3 linked regions of the Caenorhabditis elegans genome follow. The protein of the gene in region 2 interacts with the protein of the main gene of each other region in a pairwise test. Each region holds a gene or a part of one and is shown on either strand. Other genes may lie near its edges.

What was found. The genes of interacting proteins can lie anywhere in the genome.
Region 1: the proteins of unc-40 (region 2) and madd-2 interact in a two-hybrid assay, tested with the Caenorhabditis elegans proteins (2 studies listed by BioGRID).
Region 3: the proteins of unc-40 (region 2) and unc-73 interact in a two-hybrid assay, tested with the Caenorhabditis elegans proteins (2 studies listed by BioGRID).

The regions. Positions count from the first base shown.
Region 1 is NC_003283.11:1,231,663-1,237,543, forward strand, and holds the start of madd-2 (E3 ubiquitin-protein ligase TRIM9), read right to left. Parts: upstream 3,784-5,881; 5' UTR 3,773-3,783; coding exon 3,541-3,772; intron 3,356-3,540; coding exon 3,248-3,355; intron 2,536-3,247; coding exon 2,100-2,535; intron 1,785-2,099; coding exon 1,658-1,784; intron 1,610-1,657; coding exon 1,550-1,609; intron 1-1,549.
Region 2 is NC_003279.8:5,687,640-5,693,441, forward strand, and holds the start of unc-40 (Netrin receptor unc-40), read right to left. Parts: upstream 3,865-5,802; 5' UTR 3,802-3,864; coding exon 3,783-3,801; intron 3,583-3,782; coding exon 3,499-3,582; intron 1,962-3,498; coding exon 1,781-1,961; intron 1-1,780. Other genes in the region: npp-7 (RanBP2-type domain-containing protein), read left to right, coding at 4,627-4,822, 4,897-5,057, 5,151-5,756.
Region 3 is NC_003279.8:4,027,957-4,034,214, forward strand, and holds the start of unc-73 (CRAL-TRIO domain-containing protein), read right to left. Parts: upstream 3,784-6,258; 5' UTR 3,672-3,783; coding exon 3,651-3,671; intron 1,273-3,650; coding exon 1,103-1,272; intron 928-1,102; coding exon 834-927; intron 448-833; coding exon 43-447; intron 1-42.

The sequences.
Region 1 (5,881 bases), on a different chromosome or scaffold from region 2:
AACAACAAATATATAAAATACAGCGAGAAAAAGTTTCATGGCTCACGCCATTAAGTGCTTTTCCATCAATCTTGTGTGTGACACACTACGGCCGCAAAAAGCACCACGACATGCACTACGACTACTTTTGTTTGTGTTGTTGTTGTTGCTTTTTCTTAGATGGACACACAACCGGAAAAAGATGCACACATTCACATTTCTTACACAATTATAAAAAGTAAAAAGGAGGAGGATGAGGATGGCTCAAGTATAGGAGAGGGTAGGAGGCGAGAGATTAACTGTTTCGGGAGAATCGTAAAGTTTCAGGCCCTTAGGGTAAAAGCCTGAAAATGCAGTCTCGTAGTAGGCACTACTTTTGCCTGCATGCCAGCCTACCTACCTTTGAGGACATCGGTGGCTTTGAAGTTCTTTGAGACCCCGCGAAAATTTGTTGAAAAAGATTGTTGAAAAATCAAAAAGAGGCATTGTAGGCAGGCAAACATTTTCCGCCAGTATAAAAGATTTAACAATAGCTAGTTTAAGTCTGGTGGGTGCGAAGTGGCTAACTAGGGAACCGTCAGAATGTTCCTATCGGACTAACGTATGAGACCTATGCCATCCGAAAGCACATATCTTAAAACGGTTACTAGTGAACTTTTAGCGCCAAAACTCACAGAACCAAGCTCACGGCGAACTCTCAAAGATCCTTGAAAAAAGGCCTGTAACGAAGCACTGAAGGGTCAATTTCCAAAATTTACTTTGGTAGCTTATAACTCCACGGATACATTTTTCACATAAAAGTCATCAACTTAAAAGTTGTTGATATTTATGTAAAGAACAATTTGGTAAACAAAAGTTTTTTTAACCAAAAAATTTTTGTTTCAGATAAAAGCATTAGAATAGCAAGAACATCATAAAAATAACAACAACAGTTGCCGCGCTTCTATCTCAAACAAAAAAAATTTCGGTAAAAAACTTCTAACTTCAAACTTGTTCTTTACAAAAAGATCAACAACTTTTTAGTTGATGACTGTTTTGAAAAAAATTTTTCCGCGGAGATATGAGCTACCAAAGTAATCAATTCTTCGTTACAGTGCTATTTTCATGATTATGTAGGTTTTTTTTGCAGAGTTTCTCATCTAATATTTCCCTTTTCCAATCCCCAGTCCCGTTAGTTAGAAACATCCAAGGTCACGAATTCCGACACAACACTGAATAAACATGTCGTTTAGTTTACAAAACTTTGTATGGATGATGATGATGATGACGGCAAGTTTCCAATTGAACGCCTCATGGGGCCCCCCTCGCGATTAATTCGCTTTGTCGATTTCGAAAGCCCTAGGTCATTAGCCGTTCGTTGTGTGGTTCCTCCTCTCACAGTTCAAGTCAGGCCATTTATAAATAATGTACGGTATTTAGATAGAACCAGGCAAGGATGGAGGAATGGAGGAACAACTATTTAGATGAAAAAGGCAGATTTTTGATGCAAGGACACTTTCTTCTGAAGATTTGCGGTTGAACCTAGCCTCCCCCCTCTCATCTCACTCATTTGATTGACAAATAGGCTCACCTTGTGCCCTTTGCAAGCGATCGGAAGACTCTGCACATCGTGATTGGCGTGTCGAAGGTCCTAAAAAAACACAGTTTATTACCCCCGAATTGCGCGTCAACAACCCACTTGGAGACATCTGGAGCACACGGGCACCTTACATGCCAGACAATACATGGTTAATCCCTCCCCAGGGTGTGTTGCGCAGCGCAGCAAATCTCGAACAGTGGTGGCTGTAGTGATGGCCGATGATTTCCTGGAAAATTGACATAAAAGTGCCTGTTAACAGGCGTGAGGTATGCCGCCAGCCTGCCTTCCACGAGAACCTCAGTTTATATTTTGTGAATTGAGATATTTTATGAGTAGGCAGGCATAAGGCACGTGGTGCCAGAATGTCCGTAGATCTACAAAAAATGCGGGAGAAGAGACGCAGAGTTCTCAACTGATTTTGCATGGTTGAGAGCGTGCTGACGTCACATCTTTATGGGTACAAAAATTCCCGCATTTTTTGTAGATCAAACCATGATGGGACAGCCTGACGCCACGTGATAAGGTAGGCATGTCAACTCACTTTCTCTCTCCATCATTTGCTTGTAATAAGTTATGTTTTGCAAGTGGTCCTCTGGCAGGATGCAACGCAGTTTGACAAGGTGTGCAGTAATAAATGTCGCATTGCTCGCAAAACACATTTGCCATTCGATTTTCACTCCCCTCGCATAGCTGACACTGTGACGATGCTTCATCGGACGATTGAGAACTTCCAGAACTTCCAGAACTTCCAGAACAAGACGGCGTTAAGAACGCCTTGTCCGGATGGGCCAGCAGATACCTTCGAATCACGTTTTGCATTGCGAGATTCGTGGGCGCGCTGACGATCGAGTTCTCATCGCAGAAATAGCTCGGCTTTTGACACGAATTACAGACAAGTTGCACGCCGCTTGTGGATGGTGTTAGGATGTTGTGTAGGCGGGATAGAGGTGGACCGATGATGCTTGACGGTCGACTGGCTGGAAAATTATCAAAGTTGAAGAAAGTAAATTCTGATCTCTGAATTTTGAACCTGAATAAATTTGAGAATCTTTCTCAATTTTGACAGGATTTTTAGAAAATATAGGAAAATTGAATAGTTTGCACTATAGTCCAGATGATCAGGCAGACACGTTTTGCCTGCCTACAGGCCCACTTGTGCCTGCCTACCGACAGGACTGTCTTCCTCCTTTCGAGTAGTTGAAAGTTTTTATCAAAAAAAATTGTTGTTTCAGATAGAAGCGCGTGAAGTGCGGTAACTGTTGTTGTTATTTTTATGCAGTTATTGCTATTTTAATGCTTTTATCTGAAACAAAAATTTTTTTGGTAGAAACTTTTAACTACAAACTTGTTTTTTACAACAATATCAACAACTTTATAGTTGATGACTTTTCTGAAAAAAATTTATCCACGGAGATATAGGCTACCAAAGTGAATTTGGAAAATTGCTTCTTTTCATCGTTACAGTGCTTCGTTATAGTGCTATTTTAGAATCTTTGAGAGCTCGCAGTGAGCTTGGTTCTGGACATTCGCAGCTCAAAATTCACGAGTAACCGTTTTAAGACATGGGCTATCGAATGGCATAGGTTTCATATGCAAGTCCGATGGGCACCTTCTGATGGTTCCCTTGTTAGATTTACACCCAACAATTTTTATATAGGTTGTAAGCCAATCTCAAGAAAATCAACTCACTTCTACCACATCCGACGACTCCAGAATCGGTCTCCGACACAACTGATAGCTTATCACTTTCATGGTCCCCATTGTCCGAAACACAAAGTGACATGGTGTCAGATGCTCCTGCAAACATTAATAATTATTAGTTTTTTTTTCCATTCGTATTCAATTAGTTTCCATTCTTCATTCAATTCTTCCCTTTTGTCGGCACCTCGGTGCCGAAATTGGATTACTCAATACCATTAACCCAATGACATATGGTGTCAACGAGTTAACCAACAAAAAACAAAAAAACCACCAATACTCACCACTACTACTACCAGCACTTTGTGGGGAGATCGGTGAGCTCGCCGAGCTCAGAATTTGTGACAAAATTCCAGGTGTCGAGGGACGTGGCGATGAAGTGGACGAGCTTCCCGACGAGGTTGACGGCTGGTGGGCTTTCAGGGCGCACATTCTGCAGAGACTGTGGCCGCAGGTAAGAATGATGGGGTCTTCGAAAAATCGAATGCATATTGTGCATTTGAGCTCTTCCTCCATTTTTGAAGGGACTGAAATTTGAGTATTGTCAGGTGGAAGTTGAAGTTGAACAAAAAAAAAGAAAAATCTCGGATCAAGAAAGAAAGTTGTTTTATATTTTGAAGTGCATGTGTGTGTGAATGTGTGCAAAGAGCCGTCGCCTACATAAACGCATAAACATATGACATGAAACGTTATGAGAAAACATATATTCAAGAAAAAAAATTCAAGAAGCTCACCGGATGAAAATTCGAAAAATTCGAAAATTTTCACTTAAAAAAATTTCAAATTTTCCAGCAGAAAAAAACATATTTTTTTTTCTTAACGGCTTACGATTAAATACTCTCCAATAATTAAAAGCCCTCAAAAATTAGGTTTAGGGCAATTTTTGAGCCCTTAATTTTTGCACTCTGGAATAGAGCTGGGCGGCATTTTTTCGGCAAACTCACAAAACTGGCTTATTTCAACATGATAATCCAAAATTTTTTGATCTAAAATTGATATGGAAATGTCGAAAAAGGTTTGTTCTTTCCGAAAATAATTTTTTTTTTTTGATGAAAAGTTTGAAACAATCCTCAAATAGTGTCTGAAAAATGCCGACAAAAACGAACTTTTAGGTACTATTTGAGCACTTTTTCAAGCTTTTCAAAAAAAATAAATGATAATATCAAATAGAACAAACATTTTTTTTTACATTTTTAAATCAATTTTAGATTCAAAAATTTGGACCACCATGTTGAAATAAGCCTAAATTTTGAAAACGAAATTTTTATAGGCCAAAGTAAAGAATTTACTTTGAGCGAGCGAAACAATGAAATAAGGTTTACAAACACCTACATTTCATAAATTTTTGAAGAAACAGAGTAGAACGGAGCAAAAATAAAAAAATAAAAACAAAAAATTCCAAATCAAAATAATTCTTCCCATACACATCCTGAAAAGAACACCCAAAATTTTTTTTCAGTCATGGGAACTTTGCGGAAGACGAGAGGACACAAAAGACGGAGAGCTAGAGGCGGAAGGGAAACGTACGCGCGCGGAGAGAAAAGTAGGCGGGGCTAAGGGATGGGGAAGGAGAGGCGGGATTGACATGGACGGGGATGCGATGAGACAAGATGGAGACAGCTTCAACTGATTGTGCAATGAATGATCGATTGGGTGATGGTAATGAGGGAAAAATGAGCAAGAAATTTCAAATTGAGAGGCTTTTCTGAATTCTTGAATTTTCTATAATTTCTGTTCGTTCTCTTCATCCCCGGGCCCAGCCTAAGCCTAAGCCCAAGCCTAGGGCTAGGCCTAAACCTAAGCCTAAGTCTAAGCCTAAGCCTAAGTCTAAGCCTAAGCCTAAGCCTAAGCCTAAAAGCCTAAGCCTAAAACTAAGCATAAGCCTAAGCCTTAGATTAAGCCTACACCAAAGCCTATGCTCACGCTCGCCACTGACGCCAAGCTTAAGCCTGAGCCTACACCTAAGCCTAAGCCTAAGCCTAAGCCTAAAACTAAGCCTAAGCCTAAGCCTTAGATTAAGCCTAAGCTTAGGTCTAAGCCTAAGCCTAAGCACAATATTGAAAGGACTTTTCCCATAGAATTTTAGCACCCAGTTAGACCACCTCTAAGTGTTGCAAAACTTTAAATTTTTGACCTTGCAGCTAGTTTATCTTCTCAAAAAGTTCTGCCAAATTTTTTCCCACAAAATCTCTGCCGAACACAAAAAGAGTAGAAGTCTCTCAGAGCACTGCTGCTGTTTAATAATTTTCTCGTTCTCGTGGTCGCAAAATGATGATGATGATGATCGGGGGGCCCTCCAACGAGCTCATTATTATTTTTGCGAAAAGATTTCAAAGAAAAACTTTTGGATTTTATCCGAGTTCTCTTCTCTATATAAAGTAGCTCGGGAAAGTCTAAGGCGCCTGTCACTGGCTTAACCCGCACCGAGAGTTGGAAGGAGGGTATAAATAAATAAACATATTCACAGAAAGGTATCAAGTTGGTGTGTCTTGGGTAGAGAGAGAGGAGATATTCACAAACCTTTATACGGAAACAATGAATAAGCTTGGAAGGGGGAAAGGTGGAAAGTCCTTCGGGAAGTATGATTAGTGAAAGTTCGATATGCATTTTGGACACTATTCTCAA
Region 2 (5,802 bases):
TATCTTTTCCAAGTACTTCTGTGGTGTGCAATTGACAGATGGTCTCAGTGAATGAGTGTGTATGCGCACATTTACGTGTGTGCAACGCGCTCATCACATCTACGAAGGACTACCAGAATTCTCAGACCCTGATTTGTAATACGCACTTTCGTGCTTCATGGAATAAGAAAATAAATATTCGCCGAAGGCTATTTGCTACTAAATGTGAACAAGTTTTCCATTTTGAAAAAGTAAATCCAACTCGGATAAGCTTATCCCTGACCAGTTTCCATTCATACTTTGATGATTCATTTGTATTGAATGAAATTAAAACTGCAAAAATTGTTCAATGCCATTTGCATAGTCTTCAACAGAACCTTGAGCCTGTCAATCAATCGTCTTGACGACATCCACCCATCGTTTCTCAATTTCGATCGAATCACCCACAGTCGCCTCTGATTAATGACCATGACAACAGAAGAACGACTACAGGCCCGGCAAAGACAGCTTCAGGAAAACAATTGTTGACCTAATATTACCTAGCTCTAATGCCAGAATAATAATGGTGACATGGCATTATAGTAGGAGGAGATACATGACAAATGGCAGGAAATTGTCGCGGATACGTCTTTGGCGGGTGGTCTACTTCTGTTGAATGTTGTGAAGGCGAAAATAGTATCTGGTTACACAATATATAGATACTTTGTAAGCTTAAACCAACAACTTTAATATTAACAGAATCTTAAAGTGGTAATTTCAAAGCAAGGAAATTGAAAAATTGGAACATATAGTTAATTGTGTGAACTTTTTTGATTCCAATGTGTTGATTCTGTTCTGATTGTACTTTCGGTTTTAAGCTTAATAACTTTCGGTCTATTTCCGGCAAATTTCATAACATTTCAGTGGCCATTGGAAACTAAAACAACTACAAGTTATGAAATATGCAGAAAAACAATTTCTTGCACAACAAAAGCTTCTCAACAATAGACTCCAATCCTCTCGGTCAAAAGTGTCCTTCCTATGCACATATGCATGAATAAGCCAGGACGAAATTTTATATGTGCATAGAAAGACACATGTAAAAGTCACTACTTCCACTCGCTTGCATGCTCTTGAAGGGATTAGGAATAGAAGAAGGAGAAGAAACAAGTGTATATACACACATTCCGATAGAACGGAGATACACCATCTAAATGAGTTATATGTCTCAATGTCATTTGCATATTTTCGAAACTTTGACGAGAATCCACAAAGGAGTCCTTGTGAAGAATGTGAGCATCCGATTTTATTGGTGAAATAAGTTAAGAGTGTTCAAACAACCATATACTTGGAAAGAAGGTTAAAGATTACAAGATAGCACAATTGATATCTTTTTTTTAACGAAAAAGTCAGCTTCAACCCAATTTAAAAGTGTGAGCTTTTTCTACCGAGGTTAAAAGTGCAGTAGGGATATTGTTTAAAACTGATTTTATACTCAAAATGTCCAAATATCGTAACAAAAATTTCAAAATATTTTGACATGTTTTTTGAAATCATAATTTTGGAAGTCGATCAAAAAAATGTTTTTTCTCTACTAGTTTCATATTTTAATTATGTTTCAATTTTTCGTATGTAAAAATTCTAGGAGTTCGCCTATAACAATTACCTAAAAGTCCACATTTTTGCAAAATTTGCCAAACGAATGACGGTGAATATTGAAAAATCTAATTTTTTTTAAAAACTATTATAAGTGTATTGACACTGAACATCAATTTAAATCGAAAAAATTTTAAACCGAACAAATAGTTGTAAAAAAACTCACATTCTAGAAGATGTCCGTTCACTGAGCAACACACCATCACGTTTCCATTCAATTCGGACATCGTGTACAAGTCTCTCATGAGCCAGAACATAACTACATTCTAATAAATGAGACGATGATTCCATAACAGTCACATTCCGTCGTGGTTCCATTACGAATTGAAAGCCAAGATTCCGAGCATCTGAAAATAAGGTTTTATAAAGGATTTCCTTCAGAAAGTCATTCGTATTGTTTTTTTTATCGAGAATCTTATGACCATTTATATTCCGAGAAAGGTTTACGAAACGTATACTATTATAATAATAACCATTCATTTTTCTTCCTCAGTCATTATTCCATACGTTCTCACATGCTCGATAAATTCTTTTGTGATACATGCGGCATCGTAGAACCTTTATTTTATGAATTCACGGAAAAAAATGCAGTTAAAAACCGAAAAAGTCCTTATCAATTGGGGAATACTGTAAAATGCCACTTATCGCGTCTAATTTTTTTGTTGATATTTTTCTGTACCTTACTAGTTAAACTAAATTATCCTTATTTTTTTCCAGAATTAAAACATATTTTCACAACTGATTTATTATTTTGTAGCTTTCTCAGTCTTCAACCTTGACCATTCCGAAATAACAATAAACCCAAAGCGTCCTTCTTTCTCTTCCGCCGCTCAAAAATTGGAGCCAATTAGTTCACATTTTCGTAAATGTTTAGAAACAGAACTTTGCTACTCATCAATAAGAAATCATCATCATTTAAATGATGAATGAATGTATTCCCGGAGCATTATGCAATCAAGGGAACACCATCAACTGAAGACCCGTGTCCCTCATATTGCCTCATCCATCAATTGAAATCGAAAGGGGATGGAAGAGAAAGATTTGTGTGGTGGAAGCTAAAGAAGATGATGGCATTTCGTTTTGTGTGTGTGTGTTTGTGTCACAATTCATTCCAAGAGTAAGAAGAAAAGAGAGAGAGAAGACTTCATGTGGAACCATTGGGACCCACACACACAATAATGAAATGAACGAATCTGGTGGATTTTGTGTAGAGATTACAATCTTTCGAACATCAAACGCCTAGAGAATCTGGGGAATTGAGCTATCCACTTTTGGTTTGTAGTGAAAAATGCTACAATTTGGCGTCAAGTTTTCTTTAAAGGTGGTACCCACCGTGGGGTAGTGAAATAAGGCCCCGAGTGACGGAATGAGGCTTCTCAAAAGCGGAGTCAAAATTAACTAAAATTTTAATTTTTCCCTAAACCGCCATAATTTAGAAAACGTTCAAGATGTCTCTCTTCTGGGGACAAAAAAATCGCTGCTCCATCTTTAAGGTGTGAAGGAACTAAAAGATTGCTGAACAACTCTGCTAGATCGGAACTCGAAAATTGAGAATAATTTTGAAAGAAGGTTTTTTCAAAGTAAAACCATTAATTCGACGATAAACTAAGTGTTTTATAGGTAAGAGTATTAAAAAAAACGTAACTTTTCTTGGATTTGTATTATTTTTATGGAGTCAATTTTTTTTAAAAATAGCCACAAGGTAGTTCAGTGCCAAGTATTGACTTTAAGATGATTTTTATTTATATTTTTCTATTTTCAAAATTCCATTCTTGAATCGATAAATTATGTTGCCGGTGACTGACACCTTGACAGAATGCCAGATGGTCATCTTCCTTCCCCCATTTTAATATATTTTTGAATTCAAATGTGAAAAACTCTCACCATTATCAATCGATCGACGATGATGTTTCCGTGTTGTGGCATGAGTAGATGACAGATAAACTGTCAGAATTATAAGAATGAAACCTGAAAATTATAAATAGTAATGAAGTTTTATTTAATTTCCTTTTGTTTTCTTTCAGAGGTTCGGGTTTAGATACTTCGTTTACTACGAAATTATAGGATTTTAATTTTATTTGTATCAACACAAAAGTGATAACAACAATATTTAAAACTTTTCCACGGAGAAATTATTAAAATTGATAAGATAAAAAGATGGAACTCACCGAAATGTCGCAAAATCATTTCTACTGAATGAATTAAATAACTTCTGTCGAATTATCGCATTCTATTGGTGATGCAGAGGGTCTGAAATAAATAATGTTTTTATTTACCTTTGGATTTTTTGAACACATTTTTTGAACACAGAAAAAAAGATGGAAAAGAGGTCGTTAAAAATAATTTTGAATAGAAAATAAATATATTTAACGGAAAAAGAGTCAAAAACAGGGTCGAACGTCGTCAAAAGAGCTCCAGAAGTGTCCAGCTGAAGGGGTGTGGCCTTGTGGAATGGACACTCTCTCGTTTCTCTGCACCCTCTTCATGTTGTTAATGGAAGGATAACTGTCTGCACTCTAACCTCTCAAATGTCGTTGAAAGCGTCGCGTATGCGTCGCGTGTGCGCACTCGAAAATTTCTTTTTAATCGTCTTCGCGCCATTTGCGATTTTAAATTCCTTTATTGATTTTTAATGTAATTTACACTTCTTTCCTTCGAAAATTCAATGTTGGTAAAAGGTTTTTTGCCTTAAAAATATATCAAGTTTAATGCTTAATGCTGCGTTTACTGGCGCGGCCTAAATTTAAACATTTACGATTTTGAATGATTTCTGTAGTTTTGACCTGTGTTATCGATCAATAATTCGGAATTTTTACCAAAACATATTAGGTGCATTTGTCATGTTCTTTTGGTACTTCCAGTAGTTCATTTAGGCGTTTCAAAAGTATTTCGAAAAGTGTCGTTTTTGAAGAATTTTATTTTATCGAGAATTTCTGACACGGCGCAGAAAAATTTCTTCAGTCTCTCTCAGCTTTAGTCTCAATTACGAAACAACTTTTTTCTATTTCAGAAATGTCCGATAAATCCGGAGGGTTTTTCTCATCGGTTGGCCGCTTCTTTTCTGTTGGAGCTAGTGCCACTAAAAGCAAAGACGGCGATAAGTCGAATGATGAAGGTACATCCAATTCGTCTTCAAAATCGTCTCCTTCTGCGTCTCCAGCATTGAAAAATATATTATCCGTAGATAATGAAGCTAAAATAGCTTCAGGTAAGTTTAATCACATTGACTTTCATATCAGTACATGGCACTAGAATTTCAACTCATTATTTTTTAAATTCCAGATGAAACTTCAGTGAATACCTCACAAAACCATCGCATCGGATCACGTCTTCGATACCTCAGTCCGACTGCATTGGATCGGCGTACGAGTGCATCCAATGGCTTAGAGATCGATGTGGACGCTGTTCCAGATATTTTCTTCAGCACTCCTGCGGTTTCCACGGTAAATTTTTAAAGTTGTCTTTTTATTAATGTGTTTTCACAGAAAAATTAGATTAAACCTGTTGATAAATGCTATCGAAATATTTTTTTCCAGAATCGCAAACGTCAACTGACAGAGCTCGACAAGCAGATTCTACCACAATCGTTTCGAAGTGAGAGTGTGAAACGAAGTCGATTCCTGAACAGATCATTACTGGAACCAACTCTTAATAGTTCAATGAATAATGAGAGGAAAATGGATATGACTTGGTGTGGAGAGTTAACTGCTAATCATTCTCCTGCTTCATCTATCACAAATTTCTCACTTTTGAGCCGACGAAGTGGAGCAACTACCAACGGGTCATTAAGTACAAGAACTCAAGAAATTTTCAAAAAGCTTGAAGGTGCAAATACACCCGCGAAAGAAGTTCAGAGAATGTCAATGCTTCGAGCTGGCATTGCTCGACCAGAAAAATGGGGATCGTTTAGCGAGAGCAAGGTTCCAAATGGTTCAGCAACTGGCACACCACCACCTCCATTGAAAAAAGCTGGAGACGCAATTCCATCTCGTATACAGCTCATATCAAAGACTATGGGAATGTCCGCTCGACGTGCTCCTTATTGGACGGATTTAACTAGGAAAAGAACATCGTCGAAAAATGGAGACACTGGATCTTCTGATTCAATGAAATCATTGAACGGAAACTTTGCGACTGCAGAGGTAACCTGGATTTTAAACACTTGAAAAAAAATGATACAAGAATTAT
Region 3 (6,258 bases), 1.7 Mb from region 2:
TTCAAATTTTTGAATATAATTAAAAAGAAAACAAAAACTCACTTTATTCCCTTCTGTCTCAATTCCTTCCACCGGAACATTAAATATACTATTCTTTGCGTGTTGGCTCTTTTTCAGCGCAGCGTTGGCAGTTGTCACATCGACAGGCTGCTCGCCTTCGCAAATTTCTCGACGTACAGACTCGAGCTTTTCCATAATTTCAGTGATATTCCAGATCCATTTCTCGAGATCCAACCTGAGCTCAAGCCATTCATCATGATCATATGGATAGCTTCCGCCGACGGTTTTCGGTAAATGTGACGAGTCGATTATTTTGATAAGCGATTCGAATGAGATCATTTCAACTTCAAAATCCCACGTTCCAAGGGACATTTGTGCTTTTTGTTTCTCCCAGAATTTTTCGGGCTTGATGATGAACACTTGTACTGTTGATGAGCTTTCAATACTCTGAAAATTAACATTTGATATAGTTGGAAAGTTGTTTTAAAAATTGTGCTCCTAGTGTTAAACTTTCCAAAAATCAGGAAAAATTTTCAAACAAATTTACAGTAAAAAAGCTATGAAAATTCAATTTTCACATACAATATTTTTGGAAGTCGACAGAAAAAAAATTTCTATGGTTGAAAAAAATTATATTTGTGTTCCAAAATATTTTTAAAATTTGGCAACGTACACAAACCGTGACTAAAAATTTTGAAAATTTTGAATAATTTTAGAGGGTTTTAGTCTAAGTTTTTAAAGGATATTCCGCTATTTTTGGCTGTTATAAGTGTATATAGTTTTTTGTTGTTTTTGTAGGAATCCATATTTTTTAAACGAAAAAAAAACCATACACTGAGAGCTTTCAGAATGTGTCGAACATTGGTCCATGTTTGTTTTCCACGCATATCAATTACCACAAGGAATCCCTTTTCGCGTGCCATCTTCCTGCAAATTCAATTTTTTGTTTGGTTTTTTTGAAATTTGTGTTTTGTGGGCTTAGGCTAGGCTTATTGTTAAGTAATTGAATTGAAAAATGGAAATAAATTTTTTGAAATATCTTTTTATAAATTTTGTTTTTTCACAGTGTGGTTGTTCCATTTCAGTCAAATAAAAAACTTACGAAGTAACTTCAAATAAATACAGAAAGACATTGCGTAAATTATCCTGATTGACAGGTTGCTCTCGTGATGGACATACGATAACTGCTTGTCCGGCTCTACATCGTCCTCCAGGAAGTACTGCAATGCCGTCACGAAGAACATGCAGAATGTCTTCTGCTTTCATCGTCATCTGGAATTTTTTCGAATTGTTTAAAATCAAAAGTTTTCATAGAGTTTTTGAGATTATTTTTGAAAGTTCAAAATGTCCGGGAACATGAAACCAAAATCTTAGAAAACCAAAAAAAGCTCGCAGTGGCTCCAAAAAATATCAGTGTTTGTCGTAAAAGAAGGACCATTCGAAATTCAATTCACCACCAGAGGAAACGGGTGAGATAGAGGGAGAGAGCGTTGAGACGCAGGCAACACAACACCGAAGAGTGGAATAGGGGGGGAGTCGAGTGGAACGAAAAGGGGCTGGTCACATTGCACTGCAGTTTATCACCAAGTTCAATCTGCTAATCGACTTTTTCGTGTATTGGGACGGACGGACGGAATGGTTAGTGCGCTGTTCGCGGCCCCCGGCAATGGAAAATGACTGTTGATTTGGAGGAAAAGCAGAGAGTCAGAGATAACAGTTCTGCGATCACTAACTCGATTTTTAGGGCTAGCTTCTTGTCTAATTTTGGACCAAAAATTGGGCAAAACTTATACTTGGTTAGGGTGCGCCCAACTTTTCTTGTGTGGTTTTAAACTTGGGTTAGAGTTTGTCAAAAGTTGGATCAAGTTTGGGCTGGATTTGGGCGCAGTCTAAATCAATCTAAGCTTTGCCAACTTCTGGGCAAGAAGCGGGCACCAAATTTTGAAATTTTCGAATTCTAAATGGTGAAGTCGCAGGGGGCGAATTTTCGCTGAACTTGCACTAAAACTTGGAATAAAAAAGAAAATGTCAAACGGAAATCTAGGTTTTATAAAATTTTTTTATTTTTTGTATTTTTTCATTTTTGTATGGCCAATACTGAAAGAAAAATTTGAAATCATTCACTGTACATTACTTTTTTTAAATTTTATGAAACTGTAAAATAGAGATAACAAACTAGAATCATTGATTTTAAATTAAAATAATCAGTACAATGTACTCAAAAACTACCTATAAAAGTTTGGCTCTTTTTGTTTATTTTGTGAAAAAATTGGGCAGAAAAATTTGTATTTGAAAGAAAAAAGACTGAGAGAACTTTTTGTAAAAGCTCAACCAGAGTATTTTGAAGTTGACTAGTTTACTTGCAAGGCAAACCAACACGAAAAAAAACGAAAAAGGAAGAAAGAAAACCCGGCACACAAGAGATTTTCTTTCATTTTTTCTTTCTTTTTCCTCCAATTTTTTGCACTACAACAATTCTCAATGTCTTCCCCGATTGCCATAAACTGCCGTCATTACACACACACACTATTCGGATTTTTTTGTTGGTATTCGTTCTCTCTCACATTTTCCTCGCTTCTCGAGGTCATAATCCTGTCTCGAACAACAACATACTAGTAGTAAGATTGGTGCTAATCGAGAAGGCACTCTTTGAGAGTACCATCTGTTTCAAGGATTGAGGGAAGAGCTTGATAAGCTCCCACTATTTCGTTTCTTTTCTCACACAACTTTACACAACCGGTCACTATTATCGTGCTATCTGCGTCTCTCCATCTCATGATCTATCCGGAAATAATGGGTGAGAAGAAGCAGGAGCACCGGGAGAGCACCGAATTTCGGAATGAGTGACACAAAACAATTGACTCATAACATATTTCAAAAACGTGATGAACTCATTTTACACTTTTCAACAATTGTCTGGGAAGGTTTGTAATCGTAATACATCAATTATTATGATTTATTTTTCTTTAGTTTGGACCTAATCAAGATTTATAGTCGTGAAAAAGAGTAGAGATCTCGGAAATTTTTTTTTTCAATTTTGGCAAAACTTTAAAGTTATATTAAATTTTTTAGTTGCTGTTTTGGTGTTAATTTTTTCTACTACTCATAGGCGAAATTTAACGATTTTTGTATCAAAATACGGTACCCGGTCTTGACACGATAAAATTTTATTTGAAGAATACTGTAATCTCTAGCATTTGGTTTTTGCGGAATTTTCATCAATTTTCATTGTTATTTATAAAAAAATTTTTCATCGGAACAATTTTACAACAAAAAAACTGTTAAACACATAAATTTAAACAAATATAGAGAAAAAAATCAATAATCAACTAAACTACAGTAATCTTTAAAGGCTCATCAAAAATTTGTAGTATCGAGACCGAATACCGTATTTTTATTGCAAATATCGCAAAACTTTGCGTCTGGGCAATATTAACAAAACAAAATTAAATTATTTGAAATTTAAAAATTTGATGAAAAAGACATTTCTCGGAACATTCGAAAAACAAAAACGTATTCTTTTCTCTATCAAATCGTACAGTTTGCACTCGTTTTCCGCATTAATCGCTTCAATGGATTACGGCGCCGGCATCTCTGCCTCTTTTTTCACAAGTTGCCGCTGCCGCCACCATGAAACTGAAAAAACTCACTTTTCCATCATAATCGCCCATAACTGATGGAGGAATTTTATGCGAATTTGACGACTCTTCTTGAATTCAAAATAATCATGTGCTTCTGAATGTCTGTGTGTGTATTGTGACGATCAGATGAGAACCCGTTTATCTGAAAAAATGACAGTTTTCAAAGAATTTTAAATTTCTTTCAAAAAAAGAGATTTGAGAAAATAAAATAGAGTGCGTATTGAAAAGAGAGAAAAAGTTGATTTTCGATTTAAATTTTCTGATGAAATATTGCTCGAAAATCATGGAAAATCACACTAAATAAGATTTTAAAAATCAAAGAAAAAATCGAGACAAAATTATTAATTATTATGGAAAAAACAAAATTTTCCAGAACATTTAAAAATAAGTGCATTACAATTTTAGAAGCTTTTCATATAGCTTAACATCTTCTTGGAACAAGTTTGGTATACAAAATATTTCAAACAATCCGGAAAAAAATGGCTTAAATCGGAAATTGGCAACATGTGGCTTGAGCTAATTTAATTCTATTTGACCCTAGTCTAAACAATCTCTTGCCAAATTTTGGTCAAAATGGTCTTGCCAATTTTTAAAACTAAATTTTAAAGTTTGTTTTAAAATGACTGACTCATTGATATTTTTGAAGAAATTCTATACTCAAGCAGCTAAAAATAGGATGGAAAAGGTCGAAACATTGCGAAACGTTATTAGATCTTCTCACTAGAATACGTACTTTTTCAGGAAGTATGCATTATTCAAATGTCTTCACTGCATAAAATAAAATAAGCAAATAAAGATGTGATGAATCTAGTCTCAATTATTAGTTGCACAACGCATTACAAATCGTTGGGTGTGAAAATGCGAAAATCGTGGAAAAGGAAGAAGAAAAGGAAGAGCTACCAAAACGAACTATTTCTCTCAAGAGGGCCCAACCATTGGGGTGGGCACCGCTCCGGGAATAGCGTACGAAAGCGGGAGACAAGCGAATTGTTATGGGAGGCTAACGGCCGTTGTAGCAGACCGCTGGTCATATGAGACAGTGCTAGTGTCCTGTAGAGACGCAGACGTAAAAAGAGAACGCAAGGGTCACTGCGCGCGCAGACGGATGTTGATGGACCGGACAGACCGCCGGGGACACAACAGGCAAAATAAGAAAGAAGACATGAAGAAGACGACGACGTGAGATGGCGGTAATGGTGGCAGGTGCAAACGATGCAGGCGACAGATGACAAGAAGTATGTTAGCAACACTTCAAATATAGATAATTCTGTTTAAATCCTTTCTTCTCCAAAATTGAATTTTTCAATTGAACTCAATAGATGCTGTTGTGAGCTCTAGAAGTTGTTGAGATGTCTTTATAATCTAATCTCTCAAATTCTTTGAAACTACTTGTATCTGAACTAGAGCATTTTAGTTCAACAGGCAAAACAGATCAAAATTTAATGCAAAAATATATAACAAATAATTTATTAATCAGAAAATAATTTTCATTTAAGTTTGAAAATGTGAAAATATGATTAAAAATTGCATGAAAGTTGCCAATTGCTGGAAAAAAGTGTCAATAATTTGTCTGATTTATTCCAGCAATTTTCACCTTTCAGACAACTTTTAAGGATTTTTTTTCAACTAAAAAATTATTTTCAGATCAATCAATCCTATATTTTGACACTAAATTTTAATGAAAAATATCAGACCAACATGCCACATCAGGCCATTTTGTAGAATTGTCGAAAAAATTTAACGTACACCTCTGATCTGAACAATCAGTTTTTAGTGTCGGTGGAACACCGTAAAACAAAATCCTAGGAAATTTTAAATGAACTAAATTGAACTAAATGACCAAAAATTGAACTAAATGACCGCTATCGCCCTAATATCAAAAATAATATCAATTCCACTCAATCCTACAGTAACAAGTCAACATCAGAGATATTCTCGAGACACATGGTGAAGATTGGATTTCCCAGAGGATTATACCACCACATGTCTCTTCAGCCAAACAGTATACGATGACCGTTCAAGCGGAAATCATAAAACAAAAGGGATCGACACTTGACAGTTACTATCATTGGAATATTATTACCCCCGTTCAGTGAAGTTGTCACGTGGTGCATTGTGGTACTAATTTTTAAAGGTAGTAACCGACAATTTTTTGATGTTTTTTGATATTAAAAATGACGCAAAGATAACGAGTTTCATAACTACATAGATTTTTCAATAATGCTTACAAATGTTTTATGGCGGCTCAAAGTTAAGGATATTATTAGTGAGAGAAAATTTATGTAGAAACAATGTGCAAAAGGAAAACCAAGAAATCGTGATAATTTAACAAAAAGCTCAAAAATGGTCAGAGTCTATTTTCAGATCATCCTGACTTTCTTATGAAAAAAGGATGCGACAGTAAAAATTTGAATTCAAAACGGCGGCATCAATCGTTGCAACAAGGCAAAAACAGTCAAAATATAAGATTTACATCGATTGGTATTCAGAGCGGTCCCGTGGTCACCTCTTCAATTGTTTTACTGTGACTAGGATTGTATTCGCGCGCTATCGCTAACTTCCCAGAAGGCGTGCCTCCTGGGTAGTTAGCGACCCCATGAGGGTCACATAGTTGCCA